2 linked regions of the Xenopus tropicalis genome follow. The protein of the gene in region 2 interacts with the protein of the main gene of each other region in a pairwise test. Links are inferred from orthologs where the notes say so. Each region holds a gene or a part of one and is shown on either strand. Other genes may lie near its edges. The genes, in order: swap70 and rapgef4.

What was found.
Region 1: the proteins of rapgef4 (region 2) and swap70 interact in a two-hybrid assay, tested with the Homo sapiens proteins (2 studies listed by BioGRID and IntAct). The link is inferred for Xenopus tropicalis from reciprocal best matches to the Homo sapiens genes RAPGEF4 and SWAP70.

The regions. Positions count from the first base shown.
Region 1 is NC_030680.2:7,061,225-7,065,047, reverse strand, and holds part of swap70 (switch-associated protein 70), read right to left. Parts: intron 3,226-3,823; coding exon 3,079-3,225; intron 1,330-3,078; coding exon 1,221-1,329; intron 1-1,220.
Region 2 is NC_030685.2:67,123,449-67,127,763, forward strand, and holds the start of rapgef4 (rap guanine nucleotide exchange factor 4), read right to left. Parts: upstream 3,102-4,315; 5' UTR 2,818-3,101; coding exon 2,753-2,817; intron 1-2,752.

The sequences.
Region 1 (3,823 bases), on a different chromosome or scaffold from region 2:
CCTTGTTTTGAAGAACCTGCTCTCAGTAAAGAGGGCTGACTCTGGTGGTCTATGGTTCTGAACACTGAGTAAGTCTATGGAGAGACATGTGTCTTCTCTATGATAAGTTGTAGAATAACTCCTGTAGAACCAGACCTAGTCATGTTAGATATGTGAATACCCCTATGATTAGAAAATGAAAATGTTTTGAAGAACTTGCTCTCAATAAAGAGGGCTGACACTGGGGGTCCATGGCTCTTAACACTGGAGAAGTCTATGGTAAGACATATAGTACAACTCATGTAGAGCTCATGTAGAACCAGACCTAGCCATGCACCAGGGACTGTACTGTTGAATACCTAGATACCCCTATGGGTAGAAAACGAGAATGCTTTGATGCTTTGAAGAACTTGCTCTCAATAAAGAGGGCTGACACTGGTGGTACATGGCTCTGAAAACTGGACAAGTCTATGGAAAGACATGTAGGACAACTTATGTAGAGCTCATGTAGAACCAGACCGAGTCATGCACCAGGGGCTTTACTGTTGAATACCTAGATACCCCTATGGGCTGACACTGGTGGTTTATGGCTCTGAATACTGGACAGGTCTATGGGAAGATATGAGTCTTCTCTATGATATAACTCATGTAGAACCAGGCCTAGTCATGCACCAGGGACTGTACTGTTGAATACCTAGATACCCCTATGGGTAGAAAACGAGAATGCTTTGATGCTTTGAAGAACTTGCTCTCAATAAAGAGGGCTGACACTTGTGGTCCATGGCTCTGAATACTGGACAAGTCTATGGAAAGACATGTGTCTTCTCTATCATAAAAGATGTAGGACAACTCATGTAGAACCAGACCTAGTCGTGCACCAGGGTTTGTACTGTTGAATACCTAGATACCCCTATGGGTAGAAAACGAGAATGCTTTGATGCTTTGAAAAACTTGCACTCAATAAAGAGGGCTGACACTGGTGGTCCATGGCTCTGAATACTGGACAATCTATGTGTCATCTCTACGATAAAAGATGTAGGATACCTTCTGTAGAACCAGACCTAGTTGCACACCAGGGGCTGTAACTGTTAGATACCTGGATACCCCTATGGATAGAAAATAAGTCCTGGACCCATCATAGAAACCTGAGAACTATCACCCTAGAATGCCATGGATGTTAATTATCAGAAGACATGGACTTCCCCGGCCAACCTGTTCCAATACCTGGTTTTACCACTCACCTTGAATCCATTCTTGCTTCTTCTTTTTATCCGATGCACTGATCTCGTAACTTTTCTCCAGGCATTTCACCACAAAGAGACACTTTCTCCCCTCTTTGTCTGGCAACGACTAGGTAAAATATAAGAGACATGAATTGAAGAGGGTTATTCCGGTCTTTCTGGTTTCCATGGGGGCCAAATCTGGCCCTGATGGTTCCTTTGTTGCTATGTGGAATACGTTGGTAAGGTCAGAAGAGATGGGCTGGGTGTAACGAGACATCACAATACCCTCCATGGCTCCTTTGTCCAACAAAAAGAGAGGGAGTTGATGGAAACCCAAGTATTATATGATAGAAACGCCCAATCAGAGTGTGCAGGAAGCTCTCGGCCTCCCCGGACTGTGATTAAAGCGTTCATCAGTTCATCTGAATAATCCATGAGAAGATGAAAAAGGATAATGGGACGTTAACGTGACACAAGAGACCTGACAGTTATTGAAGCCGGAGCCAAAGACATAAATAGAGATGTTTAAAGAGATTATACATTATTAATCCAACCCAAGCCGGGGGGGGGGGGGCAGTGAGAACCTAGAGCCCCCAAACCAGATCTGGTTCCACAGGCACATACTGAAATAGAAAGCATTTAGGTTCCCATTGGGCAGTTGCCCCGACTATAATACCCTTAATAACTGGTGCAGAAGAATTATCATTTATAGGATGTAAATAGAGATGGGAAAAGTAGTGCAGGGTGGGGCAATAGGGCAACATTCAGATACAAGGGCAAGAAGGAAACAGTAGAACAAGTAGGGCAAGATGGAGACACTAAGGCATGATGAGAACAGTAGGACAATGTAGCCATGTCTGGACTGGGAGTCCAAATAAACTGTGGCATTCCAAGTACCCAGAGGCCCAAACAGCCCCCCTCCAGCCCAATAAATAGTGACTTTCTGTAGCATCTTACAGCAGCCCCTATGGAATTTGCCAGAACCCATAAATCGATAGTCCGGGCCTGGTGACAGTAGGACAGGTTTGGGATATATGGTAACACTAGAACAAGATGGCTACAGTAAAGATGATGACAATGGGGCAAGATAGGAAGAGTAGAACAGTGTTGCTTCATAATAGGTACAGCAGAACAAGATGGCCGCAGTAGATGGAGACAGTAGGACATGATAGAGATAGAGACAGTAGGGCAAGATGGAGACAGTAGGGCAAGATGGAGACAGTAGGGCAAGATGGTGACAGTAGGGCAGGATGGAGACAGTAGGACAAGATGGAGACAGTAGGGCAAGATGGAGACAGTAGGGCAAGATGGAGACAGTAGGGCAAGATGGAGACAGTAGGGCAAGATAGAGACAGTAGGGCAAGATGGTGACAGTAGGGCAGGATGGAGACAGTAGGGCAAGATGGAGACAGTAGGGCAAGATGGAGACAGTAGGACAAGATGGAGACAGTAGGGCAAGATGGAGACAGTAGGGCAAGATAGAGACAGTAGGGCAAGATGGAGACAGTAGGACAAGATGGAGACAATAGGGCAAGATGGAGACAGTAGGGCAAGATGGAGACAATAGGGCAAGATGGAGACAGTAGGGCAAGATGGAGACAGTAGGACAAGATGGAGACAGTAGGGCAAGATGGAGACAGTAGGGCAAGATGGTGACAGTAGGGCAGGATGGAGACAGTAGGACAAGATGGAGACAGTAGGGCACGATGGAAACAGTAGAATGAGACACCACCAGTAGGGAAAAAATTATAACAGTAGGGCAAAGCAACAGTAGGTCGGGGGAGGTAAATCGAATGTGCCATTGTCATGTGACCAGCCTTACAGCCAATGAGATTAATTTATATTAAACATCATCCTTCCCTGTGAGCATAGTTACCTCCACCAAGCAGTTTTCATCCAGAATAATTTCCCCCTTTTTGTCCTTCAGATCCTCGCTGCAATAGTACGTTACTATGTTTGGCTTCAGCACGAACCAGCGCTCGGTCCAGTTCTTCCTCTTGTGGCCTTTCTTCAACAAATATCCCTGTGGCGGGGAAAAAAATGAAGGTGGAATAAAATCATGGACGACGCCCTTTCCAGTTGCCCTCATTTGTGGCATGAAGCCCTTGCATTGTGGGAAATGGGTCTGGTTGCTAAGGGGTACGGCACTGGCGATACGTTGAATTGATCAGAACCAGTTTGTCCAGCGTTGGTGGCCATTTCCACGGGTATAAACCCACAGGGCAGATATTGACCCCCTACACAAGCCAAAACATGGACAAGCTGCTGGCAACTCTATAGTCCAACCTCAACGCTCTATTTATTTGCCTATAGCAGGGCCCCCATAAGTACAGATATGGGAAAATCTTGGTATTTCAGTCATTTAGTCATAGTTCCAAGAATGTCTAGGGTAGAAAATCCATATTTACCCCAAATCTCACCCTAAGTGGCCTTCAAGGTGGGCTTCAGTCAACTGGAAGGTCCAAGGTGTTGCGGTTTATGTTTGGGAGTGAATAGACTTGCTGAGAGGGACTGCAGTACCTCTTTCCACCACATATTGAAACCGGACAGTCCCCATAGGACTGTAATAGACCAGCGCCACCTTTCTTATTTATGAGGGGCATCAAATGGGACAAACCTCC
Region 2 (4,315 bases):
TGGTGGCATTGTTCTGTTTCCCCTGCTGATAAAAAGCTGTCCTTAGGCCAAAGCAGTTCCAGAGAAGCATCAACATCATATCTGCATATCTAAAAGTCTTGCAGCAAAATATCTCTCCACAGTGACAGGCCTCTTATCTTAATCACCTAAAAGCTGCAATACTTAAAATATACCAATACTTCTTTTTTCACAATAAAAGGACAGGGCTGCTTTGTGCCCACAAACGACATACTTTTCACCACAGATATGCCCCATATACCTGGGACTTTCCTTAATTTGGACCCCAATGTGATAAGGAATTATATCTGTCCTGAAATCATAATAATTTGGAGCTGCTCTCTGCACAACTAGAGTTGCCACCTGGATGGTATTTGACTAGACTAGCTGGTAAATTTCCAATTGAAATTTGTAAAGTCATATAAATCCTTCTGTTCCCTGACCCTCTCTGCTGCCAATCACCCTTTATAACTATGGACCTACCTCTGCCAATAGCCCTGCCCAATCTGTCCATTTCCCACCCATTAACTGGCCCAACCAACCTTTCATCACCCAGCCCTCCCATTCCCCACCTCTTATGTCATAGCCCCTCCCCAAATTACATCACATTCCACCCCCCCAACCTGAAGGCTGGTATTAGTCACAGAAAAAGGTGGCAACCCTTTGCATTACCCCTGGATGTTTCCAGATCCATACAAATTAATAAAGAGGCAGGGCCAGAACTAGATGTAGGAACCAGCTTTATGGCCTAGGCAATTGGATTATGATGCTCTGTGACTGGAGGCCACCAAACCCTGCATGAAAGGATGTAAGAATTACTGACTTAGCGCCATGGCAGATGACATTTGTTGGCCGCAGTGAACCTGCCCTACTGCAGATTGCCCAGGAGCAGTAACCCTAGCAACCAATAGGATGTTTTTTTTAAACAGGTGACCAGTAAATTCTACCTGCTGATTGGTTGCTATGGGTTACTGGTCTTGGGCAAACTTTGTACCTTTTATTACATAACCTCCTTACTGTCCCTTATGGTGATGGAGATTTAACCGTGGGCAACAAATCTTACCATGTGCCATCACCCTTAGTCAGTGAGCAACATGTTGTGCACCAACTCCTTGGATGTTGCTCCCAGTGACCTCAAAGTAGGTGTTTATTTTTTAATTTCTGGCTTGGAGGCAAGTGTTGATTGCATAAAACAGAAAAGTAAAAGTCTAACAGAGCCTTCTATAGGCTGCCAGTCCACATAGGGGCTGCCAAATAGCCAATTATAGCTCATATTTGCACCCCCATGATCTTTTGTTTATGCTTGTGTTGCTCCCCAGCACTTTTTCCATTTAATGTTGCTCACGGGTATAAAAGGTTGGGGATCTCTGCCCTAAGTTGAAAGTACTTGTTCGTCTGCATTAAGTCTGCGCTACCACGGGCAACAAACCTCCCGAAATTGACATGTCATATTATAACATTAAGATCGCTGCAGCTAAAACCCAATACTCGTGGCGATCTGGCTTAATAACTGTAAAATGCCTTCATTCTCTTAGCCAGATCACCATAATGGGTTTTACTTATGGCAATCTCAATGTTATAATATGGCAAGTCAGATGGGGCAGATATCTATCTGGCAGGTTTGAAAATACAATTGGGTGACAACCCCATCCGCCAGGGGCCTGCATAATCTATATTATTATCCAATCATTGACCCTGGGGCAAATAATCCGATCAGTCTGATTTGACCCACCACAGGGGTAGCCTCAGGGACAGGCCAAGTCAACCGGGCCCCTGCACCTTCCCCCCCACATGTGTGCGTAAAGAACCACGTGCATGCCCAGTGATGTCGCAGGGGAAAGTGCATCGCGGGAGAGAGGCAAGAGAGCATGTATTAGTGGTGGGCAGGAGAGGTACCTTCCTGGCACTACCCCCCTCTATTGTTGTGCCCTAGGCATGTGCCTCTTTTGCCTACCCCTAGTTCCGGCCCTGGGTGCTTTATGTCTTTCGTTTTTGGAAATTAAATACAAAATAAATTATGAGCTACATATGGTTTTTGAAATGGTGTCAGTATCTCCTATTTCTAAAAATGATATATGTAAATGCTGGATCAAGTAGATGACCTTCTAGACCAAATCTGGGCTTCATCAGAAAAATATTGGAGATAATGACAAATGCCCAATAACTGAGATCTTAGGCCAAGCAGAATGACTCCGGTGGGTTGGTTGAGGAATAGAGTGTGCAGTGCATGCAACTGCAAGAACACACAGTCTATTTTATAAATATACTGTGAGCAGTAGTTCCAATACCACTATTTTAAACTGCTGGGGGGTGGTACCCATTTATATTGCTCAAGAAGATTTTTTAGGTCTCAGGCACAATATCATAGAACAAGACTAACACCCAGCATCCCTGACAGTCTGACACTGTCTGCCTAGAGGCCAGAATGGAGCATGTTAGACCCTGCTCGTCTCCTCTTACAAAAGATTTCTCATGAAGAATATATTGATTTTCCATGCATGAATAATGCAAAGCTCAGCCCCCAGGAACAAGCAGACAGGAGAGTGACAATGGAGGGTTATACATACTGAGTTATACATACTGAGTATTTTCATATACCCCATTCATTAACTGAAAATGAATGGAACACAATGCATGCTTGTATGTAAGAGCTGCCTTGTTGCATTCTTCCCTGCGGCAGGCTGATTAGCATGCACAAACACACACTCGTACACACACTCGCACACTGCATGCAGGGTCTGGCAGGGGAGAGTACCTTTTATCTAAGCAGGCAATCCATTCAGCAGAGGAGGTAGAATGGGCAGTGTGTGCAGCCACCATGATGGGAGCTCTGCCAGCTCAGTCTTGTAAGGAAAAGGGAAAATAAAAATATATCTATTATCCTGCTCTGCTCCCAAAGTGCTGAGGGAGGGTCAGTTTCCAAACTAAGAGAGCTGAGTGCCAGGCAGCCAGCAATCAGTTCCCAGGAAGAAGGCTGCAGCGCTGATGCTGTATCACATGTACCACATCCCAGGCAGGATGCCACTGACACTGCAAGAGCACAATGCGAGCACCGCTGCAGCCCTCCTCCAGTGCCTCCGCTCCAACTCTTCTACAGGGAGACAGAGGCAAAAGGCAGGGGGATGGGCTGAGGTGCTGCAAGCACTGGCTACAGTAACTCATATGGTACAATCTTTTTCCAGTAGAAATATCAAAATAGGTTTGCTTTATTGGCTTAGCTGGCAGGCGGATCAATTTGGTGCTGCACATTCACATCCTGTTGGAGCTCAGCGAGTCATTAATTCCCTGCCTGTGCTCTCTCCCCAGGGGTACAGCTCTCTCTCGCTATATATATATATGTATATATATATATAGTGTGTGCAGGTTTAATTTAATTATGAATAGAATAAATAGCATACTAGCAGGAAAGATGGCTTTAATATTATGATTAATGACTGTAAGGCACAAAGAGCAAAATAACTCATTTTCCTTTGTGGGTATGTATGTGTATATATATATATATACTGTATATATATATATATATGCCACAAATCACTCATTATGCGGATGTGCGTGACATAAACTTTTGAGGTGCATCCACCATGTTTACTTTAGATGCTTACACATAATGAGCGAGCAGGGAGACTCACTTGTTATGCATATGCATGCTATACAACATGGCTGCCCTCCCCATGCAGGTGGCCTAGCACTGATGGGGGCAATATTTTTTTTCCCTAACTATTGTTTCCCCCAACCTCTGGTGTGGGAAACTATTTCTGGGTGACAGGTGCCCTTTAAGCTAGTTGTGAGGACTAACATGAATTGCATTGAGCAATGGTTTAATAATGAGAAATCGAATCACAGGGACCCTAGTTGAAATGTAAGGAGCAGACAGAAAAAACAAAGTCTATAAAAAAGACACAAGGTTGTGGAGGGTTGCAGATAAACAGGACTGGATTTCTCTTCCTGGTGCCCAGAGGCCGGCATCCTCAGCTGCTCCCCACCCCTCCCACAGGACTGCATGCATGCTCCTAAATCTGGAGCTTAGGGCGCATAGAGATCTCCGGCATGCCACCCCTGAATTTGTGCCACCCTAGGCCCGGGTCTTTTATTCTTATAAACAGGAACTTAGAAGCAAGAACTTGGAAACAGGAACTGGAGCTCAGGACAGGATACTCGGATGGCTTGGACAAGCAGAAGATCTTATGATTTAGCCATACAACAAGGAACCTGCTGGTAAATGCATGAACTGGCAGAACTGCAACACTCTACTGGATTCAACGGGAAAAGGACTCGTTCTGGGATTTTTTGACCCTGTGCAAAGGACTTTCAACCTAGC